Linked DNA regions of Oreochromis niloticus. The protein of the gene in region 1 interacts with the protein of each later gene in a pairwise test. Links are inferred from orthologs where the notes say so. Each region holds a gene or a part of one and is shown on either strand. Other genes may lie near its edges.

Region 1 (9,316 bases):
GCCTTTTTAGGGGCTTTTTCAGATTAAATAGAACAAGATACAAAGCATTAAAACACGTTAAAAACACAACAGCCTTGATAAACGCAGAGTAATTTTCACCCAGAAGCAGAGTTCATATGTCATCACTTAAAAATTGGATATCCCACCTGCTGTGAATGTTTTAATGCAGTACAGTTGTTATTATTATCATCATCAATTGTGACATCCTGTTTATGACAGTTAAAATAAATAACATTGATATAAGAAACTGAGCCAATTCTGCCATACCTGGTGCGCGGGGAAAAATGATCAATATGCTTTTTGTGACATTTTTTTGTTTGGTGGTGTGATTTTTCTAATGTGAAATAAGTGCCATGGCTCCAAAAGGTTGGGAAACACAGGTTTAGAGTGACCCATTCTTTCACTAATGTTTGCAAAGCAGACCGCATGGCTAGTTGCTTGATTTTATACACTTGTGGCAATGAGAATGAAAACACCTGAATTCAAACAGGTAGCCCAATACTTTAGTCCATACAATATATCTAGCATCAAATACCATCATAACACAGAGGTCAAAATGGAAGTATTCTAACAATAACCCAAGGAGACAGCCTTTAAGTCGATACTGAGCACTGGTTAGGTTCAGTTATTTTGTAGTGCAGAAAAAAATGGAAAAATATGCTAAGAACTTGCTACTGCTCTGGAGAAAATGACAATTATATATAGCACTTCTAAGTAAAGCGCGCTGCATTTAATGATTAGACAATCAGAGAATCAAATGTTCTTTCTGTATGCAGAAAAATATAGCTAAATAGAAATCAATCAAAAAGGTAGTAACCAATGATGTTACACTAACTTGATTAAATGTTTTTAGTCAAACCATATCAAACATTTTTAAGAGATGACACACTTAAACTATCCAGGAATGTCAGGAAACTGCTCTAGGTATGACTCGCTTAACCATCAGAATTAAGATGGAGAATAAAAGTGTACCATTGTGCAGTAGCTCCTCCAGGTTATCAGGGTTACGGGCAAGCTGCAGGATGAGAGCTGAGCCTCTGATCTTCTCTGGAATCCCTTCATAGAGCAGTTCAATATACTCATCCACTCTAGTTATACTGGCCTCCTCATTTAACTACAAACACAAACAGACACACAAAGTTATTGACTGATAACAAATGCATTCTTTCACCAGCCAAACTATTTAAACAACACATTTGAGCAACTTCGAGTTGTTGCTATAATGAAGACAGAACACGTGCTTACTGCTGTGTGAGATCAAACTACAGTGGAACAAATGGTTACCTCTATGCCTTCAAATGGTGTCAATTCTTTGGGCTTAACTGTTCTTTTTTCTTTTTTTTCCACTGGTGACAAAACACACACACACACACACACAAACAAACAGCCAAGATAAAGCACATCAGCATTAATTCCAAACTTGAAAACTTGAAACTTAACTTGCATTAGTTTACATTTTCTTTTATTAGCATCACAGTGCATACTTTAGGTCTGCCATTACACTACAACCTCCTTACATGTCTTAATATTTCTAGAATGTTTACAGTACATGCTGGACTAACAAGCTGCCAATCTACATGTGGGACTGAAGTTAGCCAAAGTCGGAATTGGACAGTAAAGATTTTGGGCTCCAGAGCACAGGTGCAATGAAGGTGGTATGACTAACCCTTGCTCTCCACTGGGGATGATTTCCTGTTCTGCAAGTAGTACAGGAGCTGCTCCACCTGGGGCAGACGGGAAGCAGGGATCATCTTACACTCCTCCAGCACTTTCTTTGCCAAAGCTCCCACATCTGTACTAGGAGAAAGACTTTTCATGCGGATACTGGAGCATGAAAAAAAGAGCAGAAGAGAAAGCAGAAGCTAGCAGGTTTCATTAAATTCAAAACAAATATACTGATTGTAAAACTGTGGCCCAACACCCTTTTTTCCTAGCATAAATAATACATATCTTTTTAATCCTTTCCTCAGGCAGAATAGTCCTCTTTTCACAAACCTAATGTAAAAGACACTGTCATGATGTCACCCACTAGTTTGTTTGTGAGGTCCTGTTGTGATGTAAAACCTAAAGACAGACACGCTCAAATGGTAGTAGAATATCTAGTTAGGCCTGCCTTGCAACAAAACCTTATTTATTAGCGTTTATTAGCAGCAGTTAAGACCATAAAGTCATTTTCCAATCAGATAAATCCTTTGCTGCTGATTATTGGGACTTACTTTTCCAACCTAGAAGCTACATTCGTCTTTTATATACAGTATATGCTGCCCAATTATGCTAACGTCACTTGCTGGCAGAATGAAATTAATGTGACAAAACAGATAAATATGAGCCACTGACACATGTAAATGTTACCTTATTTACAAATAGGTATATATTAGTAAATGGGGCAATATTAACTGATAGAAATATGTCAGCACATGACCAAAACATTGTTTTGTAACATGGCTTTGTTACCATCCACCAACGGAATAAAAGTTCATTGCAAAATGTATGGAATTTGTTACATTTTATTTTTAGTTGTCCTCACTATTAAAATATACGAAGAAATGATTACGAATTATCTGTCCAGTTTAGATGGATTAGACTGACAAAGGTTAATTTGACATAAAAATCTAATCCAATCAACTTAAAAGCTCTCCTTTTTAAGGAAAAAAAAGATTTCGAGTTCAAAAGGAAACTGAAATGAAGTGTTTAGGAGCTGTGAGTCAAGAGGCCGCTTACATTTTTTGTCCCTCCTTGCGTTCTCCAAGCATATGTCCTCCACTCTCTCCAAGGATAGATGCCTCCACCTCATAGTGGACTACAAGGGCCTTCTCTGTGGGATGGACGTCCAAACCGCCCACAGTCACTTTGCTTTGAGTGATCAAGAACAGGCAGTACAAAATACGGTAAACACATTCCAGTTATTTAATTTACATCATACCATATAATAACTGCATCGGACGCAAAGCAGCTAGCAAGTTCATTTCACAACAAAATGACTTTACATGTTGCTACAGAAAATAGGTCGTTAATTGCCAAGCCAGTAACAAATCACCAGCACTAACAATAACGCATAGGAAGACACGCCCAGACAGTAGCATAATATTACTATACTGGCTAGCCGGCTAACAATAAAACACGATTTCACAGAGTTGAAGCATGACAAACATGAGCTCAACTCGGTGCAAACCCCTGATTGCAAATAAATTCAACACTACATGCAATTAGCTAGCGATTATCCACCACAGTTTAGCACGGAAGCTTGCTAGCTATTTTAGCTGAAATTCAGAGTTCCAATCCCCCTTCACGTAGGGAAGCTAATAATAAACCCAGTTCAAGAATGAAACATTCTTGAACTGGGTTTATTATTTTACTGGCGGATTTATAAGTCAGTGGAAAACGTGAAATCAGTCGTTATTTGTTTATAAGTTGTCATGCACTGTAGGCTCCTTTTAGAAATAATTGGGTAACTGTGCTAACGAACGGGATGTGAATAGAAGCATGAAGGCTGATTTAAATTGTGAGATATTTTAAGTGACCTTTCTGTCAACTGCATGTACGCCAAACGGACCAGCACGTTGTCGTTATTCATTTAAAACAAAAACAATTATATGCTCGCATTCTGCACCGAGCAAGAAAACAGGAAATTTCCCAGATTGGAAAGGTAATTAAACATCGCGCTATATAGAGAAATGCCATGGATCAGGGCAAGCTAATTAGCAAGAATTTCAATTTAAAAAACGCTTCCTCTTATCTTCCAAGTGTTTGTTAAACGTTCACAGTAAAGCTGACGTGATAGTATGGACACCATATATTACTTAAATTGGCGTACAAGAGACCGTAGCTAGCAAACGATAACATTACTCTTAGAATAATAAACTCACGTTATGACTGACCGTTTGAGATAACGTGCATCATCCTGCATCTTCCTCAGATTTAAACTTCAATATTTTTTAATGAACGTAACAGTACTGATGTGTCGAAGCTCGGGGGAGTTTTTGTGAAGCGCGTATCGAGGCTCGCTTTGATTACGTATGCAGTAGCGTTCGTACCACGTGACTGATTCAGTAACTGGCCCGCCGGTTCGCGACAGATTCGAAATAAAATGGGCAGCAAAACACGCTTTTTTTTGGAATACGCTTTATTGACAAAGCACACAATACAGTAGTGATGGCCAAATGAAGCTTTCTGAAGCACTGAAGCTTGTATTGAAAAACGGTTCATTACTGGAAGCTTTTCAACACAGTCCTCTCTGGTGACATCTGGTGGCCAAAAATATGAAGAGCAGCTTGAATCCACAAAATAAAACCAACTGCTTCATAATGATAGCTCACTCTACAGAGTGGAACTCTGTCTCATATTGGGCTGCTGTTGTGTTGCTTTGAACGTGTATTTTTTGGTGTTAAAAAATGTAGTTTATTTGTTTAATAAATAATTTTGACCAGTAAACTTTCCTTGTGTGAACATGCACCATGGTTTGGTCTTTCTTTGCTTGTGACTTCTTGATGTTGGTAAATACAATAATTGAAAAATACCACGTTACATATAACATACATATAATAATGCACATTATGCAGTATGCTTCTGCTGTGAGGTCCTGCCTCCATGTACTTATGCATTTAATCTCTAGACGGGTATATTTATAAATAATATTATATTAGGGAAATTTGTCTATACATATTTTTGACCTGGGGGTAGAATTGATTGTGAAATGGAAAGGGAAATGCTCATGAACTTGCAAATTAAAAACATGATGCATTTAAGGAAACCCTTTTTCATTTTTATTTAAGAAGAAAATTAGTTCCACTGTGCGATGGCCGAATCTGTTCCTTTTCGTTCAGATAATTTCTCCTGCCTTAAGGAAAATCCCTTCACATGGCACAGAAGAGGCTGGAGTGCAGAAAAACTGGTAGAGATGCAGTTATGGCTCCACAAACTATCAGCTAAAGAGAATAAATAAATTAAATTGCTGCACATTTTGTAGACTAACATTTTAAGGTTATTTTTTTAAATAAAATATATCTTTTTATAACATTAAATGTTACGAGTCAAATGGAAGTTATTTAATGATATTTATATTATGAAAAGCAGATTTTTTACATTTTAAGTTTTTCCCGTTTTCAGATAAAATAAAGACGCACAAAACAAAAGCAAACAGCCAGAACACAAAGCTGGAAAACCCACCCGATTGACCAGAATCAACTCAAAATACTCCCACACAACAGAACCAAATCTCTCAGTAGAATGATCAGTGGTTCGCTATCTGTCACCATCAAGACACTCCACAAATCCCGCAAATGAGAGTTACGTGCGTAATGAAGCTTCGGACGTCTCTGGTCACGTGACTTTTGCCAAACGAAGCAAGCCTCGACCATTGACTGTAGAAAACATGGACGACGCCACAGCTCCCCAAAAATGAAGCCAAAACGTCTCTATCGCCCCCTGGTGTCTGGCTGCAGTATAGGTCATAAACCCCGCCTCCTCCATGTTAGCGGATGGGACTGGGGTCAGAATAAAATAAATTTATTCTCCTTAGATAATTTTTTTCCAAAGATTCTTTCTTTTGTTATCAATAGTTCTCATCATGCTGATTGATGTCCAAGGGGTCTCCTTTCCCATAAGTTTGATTCTAATTCCTACAGCGGCGATGTTAAATTGGGGTGAAACGTCATCATAGCAGCTTTGACTGGCAGCTGCAGTCACGGAGAAACTTGCGTATCTGTGTTCGGGAATAGCAGATAGAGCGTAGGCTCTGAGAGGAGGGCCAGCGTTTACGCTACGAAAACACGACCGAGTGTTTTAACCTGACAGCCCGAGGTGTTCTTCAGTAAACTGGACTACCCGACAGAAGGACCCGAGGCCCCGCTGCATTTTTCGGTAAGTTAATCGTGTTTGTAAGCTAATCCGTAACTACTGTCCTTAGCTATGTCCTGAGACCTAGCTAGCTAAAATGAGCACTCGGCTGTCAGGGTTCGTTTAGCTAATCTGTGCAGGTGAATGAACTTACTAAAGAAATTAAGAGAAACGTTCCGGGCTAATCAGTCACTAATTACTGTTACTGTACTTTTATTACAAGTATTATACTGTAAAAGCAACAGGCTGCACCCTGCTTCAGCTCCTGTGCAGAACTGAATATCAAATATATGCAAACAGCAGCATGTTTTCAGTCTCTTGCCACATCTGTAAAGACAGTAACATTTTTTTAAAAGCTTGTACTTCAGTAACTCCTCATTAATCAGGAACTATGGATTAAAGTACTGTAGTGTATTGTAATACTGAAAAAAATGTAAGAGAAGAACTTCAGATCCTGAGTGTGTGAGGACAGAAGAATCAGCTTTATTTCAATTTTGAGGGATAAAATTTATATCTGAGTTTGATGGTTCTGTTCTCTTTGTGATTACAGGAGCTGCCCTCAGATTCAGACCTCAGCACCACCCAGTGACAGCAGACAGATCATCCAACATGTTAACTGCAAAATGAACTGATGAAAACAGTACAAAGGTTAAAGTACCACATGTCCTGTAGTGAAAGCTGCAGCTTTATTGATAAAGTTAAAGACAAAAAAACAAAAGGATTAATCACTCATGTAACTGTGTCACTATATATCAGCATTAACAGGACCTCAGTTTGGTGTTTCACAAAGCTGCTGATCTCAGACCTGCACAGCTTCCGTTTTAAACACTTGATGTACTCAGCTGCATGAAGAGCATATGAGATTTTCTCTGGCACAATTAAATAAAACCTGATGAAGGTCAAAGGTCGTCACTTGTATGTTGAACTACAAACTTGTCATCTGGAATTCTTTCACAGTTTTCTGCAGATAGTGTGTTATTTACCATAAAGTGATTCAGAGTTATTCATACCAGAGTAACCAGAGAGGATCATATATTTTTTTTAAATATATAACTTTCTACAGGACTGAATATAATATCTTTATGTAAAAGTCTGGAGCCTCTGGGGAGTATCCGAGTATTTATAACATTACACAAACCAAAGGTCTCCATCACAGTATTCATGAAATGCTGGGTTTATCCATCTCCTGGATCGGGCCTACGGAGGAGTGCTGAAGATTTCCCTGTGAGGGAGCTGCTGGTGAAGATCATGAGTCCTGCTTGATCTATGCATGAGCTTCAGTCTTCTTGGTGTTTCTTAAATGAAGCCTCTCTCAGTGGGTCAACAGAACTTCTGGCACAGGACAGCTGTGATGAAAGAAAAGGAAGAAGTTTCTCTAAACCTCTGGACCCAGGAAACCCAGCTTGGTCCTGATGGTCTCCCTCACTAGTTTCTCTCCAGGGTGAATGTAGCTGTTGATAAAATATGGACTCTATTATTAAATGAAAAGAACAAATTAGACTACACTACTGAAACGTTCTGCTGTTTTTTTTAAAGTCTCCATGTTACCAGGCTGTAGAGTACGGTAGAGGGCTCTGAAGATTTAAACAGTTTTAGATCCATTACACTCACAGTCTTATGTTAAAATCTCAAAGGACAGCATTATATTTTTGATATTAACAGTAACTCTGGGCCTCTGTAGAGTGTGCAGATGATCTCATCGCTGTCTAAAAATGGATAAAAACAAACATAAGAAGTGATGAATCCTTCAATAACACAGACTATTAGAGTAGCAGGTGTGTAGCATCGCTAACTAGCTAGCAACAAGCCTCCAACACAGTGCGTATGCTAGCGGCTAATCTAACTAACGAATTAACAACAGAGTGATTTTAGAACTATAAGATGATAAGCTGTGTGTCTTCTTTTATAACAGTGACATGGTTGTATTTACCTTAATTAAACGAGTCGTCAGTCGCGGTAAACCAGCAAAAAAACTCGAGCAGCCGGGCTACGTAAAAAGTGTAGGGGGGCGTGTTTGCGGTCATGTCCAGCGGGTGTGTGGGCGGGAACGTTACACAGTCGCTCCACCTCAAGTCACTACTGCGCAGACTCTGGCTCCAAATTTGCAAGATGGCAGCCTCCACAAGCGGGATATTTTGGCTTCATTTTTGCACAATGGTAGGAGGCGGAGTCGCGTCGTCCATGTTTTCTACAGTCAATGGCCTCGACACAGTGGCCGTTTATCAATGCTCAAGTACGCGAGTACGTACTCGCCGAGAACGCGAGCACGGACTCGTGGGATGTTTCTCAATTCTCAAGTACGCGAGCACGGACCTGTGATTTGTACAGTCGGAACACCTGCGTACGTGATGATGTCACAGGTCCGGAGTTTTTACTGCCGTCCCCTCCTAATTTAACTGTGAGTAACATGTTATGAAGCTTAACTTTAATCACAGCCAAACCGGTTTACTCAGGAACAAATAAAACACTGAAATGAACCAAACATTAACATTTAGAAGTGATCTAAGTGACTTATATATCATTTTTAACCTCAGTAGTGAAACCTCTATTAATAAAAATAGTGTACATGTACATACGTGTACATACCTTAATAAAAACAAGCAGGTGAGATGTTAGAACGCTTTTATTTCTATTCTAGTGGACACTCAATACTATAGACAGCTGCTGGGGTTTCTTTAACCTGAGTAGAGAGAAGTCCACGAGCGGGGGGGGGGGGGGGACGATGTGCCGGGAGTCCGCTGTTGAGTTTTGGACGAAATGCATTCTGGGATATTTAGCTGTCCCAAGTCTACACCGATGCATGGGCGGATCGAGAACACATCCGGGACTTTTTCGCGTTCTCGGCGTGATGCGTACTTCGAATTGGAACAGTACTTGGTCTCCGACTGATGACGTTTCACGAGTACACGAGAACGCAAGTACGCACAAGTACGCATATTGATAAACGCCCAGTGCTTCTGAACCAGTGTGTTGTTTTTTTCAACGCACGCTCCGGAGCGTCAGCTTCAAGCGGGCCATCACTACAATACAGATACAAATAAACAAAACACAATGTCAGGGGGTTTCGTCCAAAAAAACAAGTATACAGTCTACTAAAGAAACACATAATATTGAACAGGGAACATAACTTTATGGTTTTGACAGCTTTTACATTTTGAGAACGTTGTATGGTTTTAACATATTGTTTGGTTTCATTTAAAAAGCACTGAAAGGATGGTTTTGCGTTAGGAAATTTAGATTTATGTACATGAAATTTAGCCAGTAATATCAGTAAATTAATCAAAATTCGTTTGCCCTGTGCATGGGGTACTTAAAGAAACCAAACAATAGTTTTTGTAACAAAGAGAGAACTCAGAAAAGATAAAACAACAAAAACACAAAATTCTTGCCAGAAAAGATTCGTGTATAAGCAGGACAAAAATAAATGAGAAATATCTTCCTTCACAGAATTACAAAATGAACAGTTAACATCAATGTCCTT
Region 2 (9,114 bases), on another chromosome or scaffold:
CACCAAAGCAGACAACTTTTGAAAAATTGTTAATCAGTGTTTTATAAGCTTTTATAACAGATTAGTAAACCTGGCCATAAATCACTGGCTATTTGCAGGAACTTCTTCCACAAAGGATGCAGGGAATATACCAGTATTCCCGTTACACTGCCCTTCCAACCAGTCTTGGTTAACTGAAGATGAACAAATCGTGAATTAGAATCATATATTCCATCAAATTGTTTATGTATGTTTGACGTATAAAAGAATGAAGCCTCACTTTTAGAGAGCAGTTTGATTTTATCCCCTTGCTGAAAACTCAGATCTTCGGGATTTGACGACTCGTAGGAGTGAAGTGCCACCAGGTGAACCTCCTCCTGAAATCCGAAAACATCCACAATGGTTATCAGTGTAAACGGAAATTATAACAGGAGTGCAAAAACAAAAAGATACTAAAAGTACTTCAGTATCGCTAATACTGGGAATATTTTACTTACTACTTATTGCCGTTGTTACTGTAACAACAGCAATAACATGGCAATAGATGGTTGCTCTCTTACCTCCTTGGTGTTACACCACAAAGTGACACGCCCACTGCTGGCACGGCTCCACAGCTTCTCCATTTCTGTGTTGGCACTGATTACACTTTGTTCACTTGCCTCAGAGGTTAAACTAAACCCAGTAAAGGTATTCAGTTGTAAGTACAAACAATGCATACCAAACATTCTTGTTTTCTTAATGATGTGCTCTACCTCAAGGTGACTGCAGAAGAAGGAAGATTCAGTTTCCTGCTGATTTTCTCAATCAGCATTGTGTAGGGTGACCCAGACGGGACTGAGACGACAAAGTTGAAATTGAAATGCACTTTGACGATACATGAATTGTCTGTGGACTGTTTCTCCTGGAAATGATGAGAGGAAATAAAAGAACTTAAAATAACAGCCAGAATTAAACATCTCAGTACTTCTCATTTTCTTTGCTTTGGCATACCTGACGCTGACGATTTCCACTAGTGGCTTCTCTTGGCGTAAGACCTTACATAAAGAAAATGTGGAAAATTAGATTTTTCACATAAGGCTCAGATATCATTGGAAAATCCTCATTTAATTTTTGTATCCTGTACCAGAAAAGCCTACCTTGTATCCTTTCAGGTCTGGTGGGTGGCTCTCGGCTTGGAGGTGGAGTTATTCCCTGTTTATAGTTGTTCCCATTCAAAATAAAGAAAAGTAAAGTCTGTGTTATTTTAAAAACTTGGAAAGAATGAAAGGAAAGCTTGGAAAGGAAACTACAATGTTTTAAGCACTGACATTACCAGAGTAATTGATTATGACACCAACAATTGAGAATAATGAAAAATAAATGCTTACCTTGTTTTTGTTAGAAGCTAAGGAGATTTCCAAACGTTCCAGATAGTTGTAAGGAACAAGGCCCTTCTGTGAAAGACATCACAGCCATGTATACTCTCAGCAGACAACAGCAATGCATTAATTGTGTGATAAAAGTACCTGATATGAATACTGGCTTCAGTGCATAAAAACAACACAATGTACTGGTGTTAAAATTTGTACAATAAGTTTCAGATGTGGAGATCTTACTCTTTCATTGAAGACCACATATGCCCAGTTGTCAGCACCCTTCTGCAACACAAACACAATATTGCCCGGCACTACAGCCAGCTCATCACTGGTCTCAGGAATAAACTCAAAGAGCACAGTGTGCGGATCTCCTTCCAAAGCCCTGTAAACACAAGAAATGTCCACATGGCATCAAGAGTGAATCCTCCCCTAGTTTTGCTGCAATAGGTGTAGGCTGCTGGGGGATTCCCATGATGCATTGAGTATTTCTTCTTCTCCCTTACTATGTCTTAATATACCTCTCTGCACTGAATCATACTTATTATGAATCTCTGGCTCTCTTCCACAGCATGTCTTTTATCCTGTCTTCCTTCTCTCACCCCAACCCTCCCTGAGCCTGGTTCTGCCAGAAATTTCTACCTGTTAAAAGGGAGTTTTTCCTTCCCACTGTCACCAGAGTGCTTGCTCATAGGGGGTCATATGATTGTTGGGTTTTTCTCTGTATGTATTATTGTAGGGTCTACCTTACAATATAAAGTGCCTTGAGGTGACTGTTGTTGTGATTTAGCTCTGTATACATAAAACTGAACTGAACTGATGTGAAATTGAAGAGACATAAGACACAAAGGTTAAAGTTGGCACTATTCTGTGTAACGGTACATTTCTATTTTCAGGTTTTAATTATTAGATCTACACTTTGAGTCACATTTTCTCTTTGTGGAAAGCAAAGTTTCATAGATATGACTCATGCTTTCCCCCATTTTGTATTTGTACTAAACATGTATAGTAGAGAATCCACATATCAAAAAAACTTGCCAACTATAACATCATTAAATACTAAGATCATTTCTGTTTAAAGAGTTTCAAATCTGCATGGATCCAAAGTGACTATCATACCTCAGAACCACAGGCTCTTTTGGACAAGTTGGACCATCTTCCACCTATCAAATAAAAAAAACACAGTCCATCAGAGACATGGCAACACACTGGAATATGTAAAGTTTCAATCTAACAGTAATTCTTAACATTGTAAAGGATTGCAGTGCTGCTCTATAATGCAGCACAAGTTCATTTCCATTTTGTTGATGTGGATCACTGGAAGCTTTTAAAACAGGCACCAAGGTAGCATATTTTAATATAAAGTAACAGAAGATAAGAACGCACTGCTGTTTCTGTCATCAAACTGTAAAGTTTTTATTGTCAATAAAAGCCAGTGTGTCACCTGAGGCTGCAATGGGGCAAATCCAGAGAACTCATCTTGAGGAACAACAGAGGCAACGACCTGATGATAAGAGGGGGGGAAAGTAGCTTATAGATATCACTCAACAATAAACTTATTGGTTTCTCTGAGTAATTTCAAATGTGTAAGTTCTGTATGTGTGTACATATATATATATAAAATGAGTGACTGACATTTTACCTAACATAATAAAATGTTGTGATGCTGACTTTTGATAGCTTTATAATCACACTAGATTAGATAGAACAGGCTGTATAACAGATCACCTTTGCTTTGCCCAGGTAGTCTTTCTTCTCCAGCTCTGCAACATAGTGCTTATTTGGTTTGAACATCTCTTTTGATTGGAACTCGACCAGTTTGAAAAGTTTCTGTTTCTGTTGGTGAAATTTCATTGTGAGTGAAACTTAAAATATTTGCCGGTGGTTAATACAGCAGTCGTGCATATCAATATCCACCTGACTTAAAGCAAAATTAGAATAAAGCATATTAGCTTACCAAATATAGGTTAATGGAATGAAGAAAAACTACTACATTTGATATCATACATGTAATCACATTTAAATGGGTTCACAAAAGTGATTGTATCACAACTGACTAGGATTGACTGCAGAGCTTTGTCGATGATATTAAACCTGGCCTCTGTCTTGTAGTCAAGAGCCTTCATGAGGTACTCCTGGGCCTTTTCCCATCTACCCAACTGAGCTTCAACCAGGGCCATATTGTGGAGAACCTGTGGAGACATTGTTAAGCTTGTGTCCTTGGCCAGGAAAAAAAACGAATGCTAAGTTGTATTATGAATGAACAGCTCATAACATCAAATGAATTATTTGGATGTAGTGTTCAGGATTAATAATAGGGCGGGTTATCAAGAATACTCACATCACAAGCATATAGTATGTATCTGAGACCAAGCGCTTTGTAATCTATTAGCTGGTTGCCCCTGAGTGTTTTAAAGGTTTTCTGGAAGTCAGCTAAACTCTCCTCATACCTTTACATAGAGACATAGAGACAAAAGTTAAAACATTTGCATATGATATACTATGAAGCATTTTTAAATAACGTCATTAAACTTAAAAAATAATATGGTCCCTTTTTTTAAAAAAAAAAAAGGAAAAAGGCAGGTGTGTCTTGCCTCTTCTTTTTGTAAAAAGTGATTCCTCTTTGAAAGAAGGCGATGGCCAAATGTTCATCCTTGCGTATGCTGCAATCAAACGCCTGAGAAACAGAAAAAAACAGTCACTTCCTCTAGAAAACATGGTAAGATCTACTTCTCCTTTCTCAGTGACTTGCGCTTTCACACAGCATATCAGAGAATTTTATTTCAGCTACTTTCAAAAGAGTTTCTTGTTTGGACTAATGTGCTGATACGACAGCTGTTAATATTTGTGTGTTTATGCTTCAGCCTGCAGATCAGACATACCTTTTCAGCAGCATCGAAGTCTTGGTTAAGAAGATGGAGACAGCCAATGTCAAAAAAAATTTTGGAGTTTGGTTCTTGAATAGCCAAGAAAATCTCAAGTGCTTTGGAGAAATCTTGTCTGTTGACGCAAGTTACCGCCTCATCCCAGTGGCGCAGAGTGTCTACAAAAGACATGTTGGCAGGTTAGGAGTACACTGAGCTACAGACCACAGTAAGGAAGTTCCTCTGATTTGTACCACTGAGAAGAGGAAGTGTGATGAAAGTCATTGTTGGTGTATATATAAATATCACATTACCACCAGGTCTTAAAGCTAAAGGGTTGTCCCTTTTTTCCCAATGTGATGTTCTGTCATCTACATGACAATTCATTATTTGTGTGTGGTATTTAAATAAAGCTAATCTGATTTTGTTATACGTTCCCATCACCACATATGTCATGCGTGTGATGTTTAGCCATAGATTTCCAGGAATGTTGACGGACAGGGTGTAGGGAATGTGATTACACAAGAACAACTTAATGATGTGTCAGTAAACAAGGATAAGATAAGAAGAAAGACTGAAAGTAATAGGGTTTTTTATTTATTTGTTTATTTATTTATTTATTGAATCACGATTTACAGCAGGTAAAAACACTTCGAAACAGGCAGTCGGTATTCTTTTTTGTTGTCTTTTAGTTATCAGAAACAGTGCAAGTGCACAAACTACAACTTCCGGCTTAAAGTTTTTAAAAACGATAGTGACCTACTAGTACAAGCTTTGCACTCTAGCACAGCTTTATTAATTCACTTGTATTGTAAATGAAATCAGTTATATTGGTGGGGTTTTTTTCTGTTGTTTACCAAAGTATGTATTCCTTACCTTCAGAAGAAAACTATTCCAGCTTCCTTGCTGTGTGGTTGGTTCTCTACCGCCTGAGCCCACCTACGCTGACTGTCTCCACCAATCACAGCAGAGCGACTTGCGCGCTGCCTCCCTCCGGCTGATCCAAACTAGCACTGGCCCCATCGGTAGTTAAACAAACATGGGTCTGCTACATTATCAGACAACGACTCTTTATGATACGTAGGCAAATTTAAAGGAAAAAATGCGAAGATTATTAAGAAACATGCCATGCGTGATATGACACCGTGGACGGAGAGTCGCTATATTATTTAGTGCGTTAGCTTAGTGTAGCCTTTTGTGACCGTGTTTACACGTAGCTAGCTCTTGTTGGCTAATGTAAGCTAGCAAAATGGACCTTGGATCAATGTTGTACAACAATTTAAAAGAAGTTACATGGAGTACCACGTCCTTACCATTAGATCAACTTGTCAGTGCTTATAAGTTGCCTCAAATTGTCAAGCTGGATAACGGCAAGTAACTTTACTTTTTCACGCCATCAGGGCAGCGCTTGTTAGCTGCTAGCTAGCAGCAAAGGCAAACTTAAGCCTGAAACATAAATCTTTGCGATTGAGTTTAGCCGTGTGACTTACCGTTTCTCAACAGTGTGGTCTAGTTTACATTACAAAATAAGCGTTTTCTTATTCTCGTTTTTTGGTTTATTTTTGGTAATGCCTTTGCATCCGTTGTGCAGATCTCACCTTTTTTGGTATTAAACGTGCAAACCCTATAGTCATTTCTGTAATGAAGTTATTCTAAGTTATTTCAGGTTTTGTAAAAACTATATTGCAACGACTGATGAGTTGTACCACATACTGTCTAGCTCCACCATTGGAAAGCCACATTTTTTAATATACATGTATTGTTGCAGGCTGAGTCGCAATGCCAATCTTATAACTAAATCGTAACCTAGTTGCTCTGTTTAAGCTGAGAAGCATCATTGTCTTCATTCTGGTTACAAAAAAGACAAGTATTTATTTATTTGTTTTTAAGAATTAAGACATGATAATGTTATGGTGCTGTGCAAAAGTATTTAGCCACCACTCATTTCTTCATATTTTGCTTACAAATAGCCAGACTTTATTGCATTTTTTGAAGTGGTCTTGAGCAATAGTTCTCCAGGTTTTCTGAAGGTTTTTCAAAGTTTTTGTAGTTCCAGTATCTGACAGTTTTCTTCAAGGACAAAAAAAAGTACCTCATTTAAATGGAGCAGCCAGTCTTCTGTATACACTCTGATTCCCATTTATTTAGTTGAGTCCACTAAAAATACCAAATTAACCAAGAACTGGACTGAAAATCAGTAGCATCAGGTCTGATGGAGCAGTGAATGCAATTTAGAAATGTTTGGTTCAGAGCATTGTGAGTATGTACAGAGAAGGTCAGGAGTGACTAAAGCCACCTGTAAAATAGGGTGGAGGCTGCACTGCAGCAACTGGTGTAAAGAAATTACAAGAAAGCTGCTTTAGAGTTTAGGCTGTGTTAAAGAATAAAGGTGGTCAAATCAAATATTTACTTTCAATTTTGTTAGAGTTGTACAAACTCTGCATTTGCGTATAGCCTGTATTTCCATGTATGTTTTCACATGTTGCAGCCATTTCCCATTTTCCTATTAAAATAAAGAAATGAGTGGGGGCTCAAGAATTTTACACAGTACTGTTACTATACCTCTAACTAAACTATATGTTAATACAATCCTGGGTCTGAACTTGTATCTTAATCAGAATCAGAATACTTCAATAATTCTGATTCTGATACAGACCTGGGTCTGAAAGTGTATATTTAAAACTACTTTATCCTCAGTTATGCCTGAAAATAAACATGCTCACTGTGCCCTGCACTTTGAGATCATTAATAATTTGAATAATTTTCTCCATCTTCCTGACACATGCTTGGCCTTTTATGGAGAACTAAAGTGGTGTATTGTACTTTGAATGATAGAGCATGCTTTTTAGAGAGGTATGGATTAGGCCATTAGTCATTGACTAATGGCCTAATCCATAGTGACTTTAAATGTGCTTGGTAATCCAATGCCTCAGTTTGAATAGAGCAGACTGTATGGCTAAAGAGTGGTATGAAAACAGAAACGGTAAAAGCAGTGTTTCTCCAAGTGATATTTAATTGAATGGCCTGTTCTCTGTAGTTATTAAGGTTCAATAGTTCTCTCATGACCCACATCCAAGACACCACCTGGTGAAAACATAGATATGAACATTTTTTGTTTTAGATGTTTTGTTGCTGGATGGTTCAGTGCTTACTTGGCGATTAATTTAAAGTTGTAATTATGCAAATTATGCTGTTTTCTGCTCTGTAAATAGTGTTTTGTTTTGTTTTTTTACTACCTGTAGGTCAGCTGGTTGAAGGGCTCAGAGACAATGACTACCTCTTGATTCATTCCTGTCGTCAGTGGACGACTATTACTGCTCACAGTCTGGAGGAGGGACATTATGTCATTGGGCCCAAAATAGAGATCCCAGTTCACTATGAAGGTGAGATGCAGCCACAGTCGATGTTTATTTAGTTTGTCTTGTAAATGGTAAATGGACTAATTCTTTTCTACTCTATCCGAGCACTGAAAGCGCTTTACAGTATTTATATGATATCCATTATCAGATATTAAATATGATATTTGATGATGCATCTTTGCCTAAACTGAAGAATTATTCACTAAAATATATAAGTCAAAAATAAATTATGTAATTTTATAGTTGTAAGTCTGTGTTGATGCAAAACGCGTGCAAAACACCATTGACATGTCTTTTCCATCTTTTCGTAGGTCAGTTCAAGTTGCTCGAGCAGGACAGAGATGTCAAAGAGCCTGTGCAGTACTACAACAGCGTGGAGGAAGTGGCCAAAGCGTTCCCTGAAAGGGTATATGTCATGGAGGAAATCATGTTCAATGTTAAGGTACATTTAATCCATCTATTTTTATGTGAGGTTTATGAATAAGGATATATAGCTATAATTCTAAACGCTTCCACCAAGAGTATTTCATAACTTTAGATTTCCAGTTAAAGTTTAAAATTTTCCAAGTTAAGTTTGGTAAAGTAGATTCATTTCATTGCGTATATCGAAATTCATGTATGTAATGTTTTCATAGATGGCTTCAGGGGAATGCAATGAAGACACAGAGGTTTACAACATTACACTAAACACTGGTGATGAACTGACGTTAATGGGCCAAGCTGAGATCCTTTACGCCAAAAGCTTCAAAGAAAAATCAAGATTCAACACCATTTTTAAGAAGATTGGAAAGCTGAACTCCATCAGTAAGATCGGTCGAGGCAAGATGCCTTGCTTGATTTGCATGAACCATCGCACCAATGAGAGCATCAGCCTGCCGTTCCAGTGCAAAGGCAGGTTCAGCACCTGCAGTCCACTTGAGCTTCAGATGCAAGACGGCGAGCACAACATCAGGAACATTGTGGAGAAAACTCGTCTCCCTGTCAATGTGACAGTACCCAGCACTCCACCCCGCAACCAGTATGACCTCCACCTTATTAGGGAGGGTCATCGGTACAAATTGGTCAACATTCAGACGAAAACAGTGGTTGTGTGCTGCATTCTGCGAAGCAATAAAATTATCCCTATCCATTTTCCGTTTCATATAGCCATGCCACGATTTATTGTTCCGGAAGAATTGCTGCAAGGAGAGTTGTGGTTAGATACTATGGTGCATCGCTGGTTTGCGTTCTGCCAGGAACAGTTTGATATCGATGACTATTCTCGTGCTGTCCGGGACGTACGAACAGACTGGAATGAAGATGGCAAAAGCCCCAAAAAAAGCAGTGGAAATGGTAGTTGTAGCAGTGGAGGAAGCGGGAGTTCAAGCGGCTGTCCCAATCATATGCAAATTCCCAGCTCTTTGACTTACGCCCGAGATGAACTCACCCAGTCCTTCCACCGACTGTCTGTGTGCGTGTATGGCAGCAACCTGCACGGTAACAGTGAGGTCAACTTGCAGGGTTGTATGACACTATGCGGAGATTGGGCTCTTATGGCTTCTGACAGTCATCCTTCAGAAG

The links.
Region 2: the proteins of kinesin-associated protein 3 (region 1) and ncf2 interact in binary tests that used the Homo sapiens proteins (3 or more experiments, as listed by UniProt). The two-hybrid records come from large-scale screens. The link is inferred for Oreochromis niloticus from reciprocal best matches to the Homo sapiens genes KIFAP3 and NCF2.

The regions. Positions count from the first base shown.
Region 1 is NC_031982.2:1,954,557-1,963,872, reverse strand, and holds the start of kinesin-associated protein 3, read right to left. Parts: upstream 4,027-9,316; 5' UTR 3,908-4,026; coding exon 3,867-3,907; intron 2,854-3,866; coding exon 2,722-2,853; intron 1,825-2,721; coding exon 1,667-1,824; intron 1,347-1,666; coding exon 1,285-1,346; intron 1,115-1,284; coding exon 973-1,114; intron 1-972. UniProt on the Homo sapiens protein: Involved in tethering the chromosomes to the spindle pole and in chromosome movement. Binds to the tail domain of the KIF3A/KIF3B heterodimer to form a heterotrimeric KIF3 complex and may regulate the membrane binding of this complex.
Region 2 is NC_031974.2:25,537,210-25,546,323, forward strand, and holds the start of ncf2 (neutrophil cytosol factor 2), read right to left. Parts: upstream 4,428-9,114; 5' UTR 4,388-4,427; coding exon 4,214-4,387; intron 4,009-4,213; coding exon 3,926-4,008; intron 3,782-3,925; coding exon 3,673-3,781; intron 3,524-3,672; coding exon 3,389-3,523; intron 3,168-3,388; coding exon 3,060-3,167; intron 2,836-3,059; coding exon 2,776-2,835; intron 2,495-2,775; coding exon 2,451-2,494; intron 1,717-2,450; coding exon 1,575-1,716; intron 1,413-1,574; coding exon 1,347-1,412; intron 1,171-1,346; coding exon 1,116-1,170; intron 1,014-1,115; coding exon 970-1,013; intron 881-969; coding exon 732-880; intron 652-731; coding exon 540-651; intron 357-539; coding exon 260-356; intron 174-259; coding exon 82-173; 3' UTR 1-81. Other genes in the region: garem (GRB2-associated and regulator of MAPK protein 1), read left to right, coding at 5,445-5,565, 7,438-7,578, 7,866-7,996, 8,190-9,114. UniProt on the Homo sapiens protein: Subunit of the phagocyte NADPH oxidase complex that mediates the transfer of electrons from cytosolic NADPH to O2 to produce the superoxide anion (O2(-)).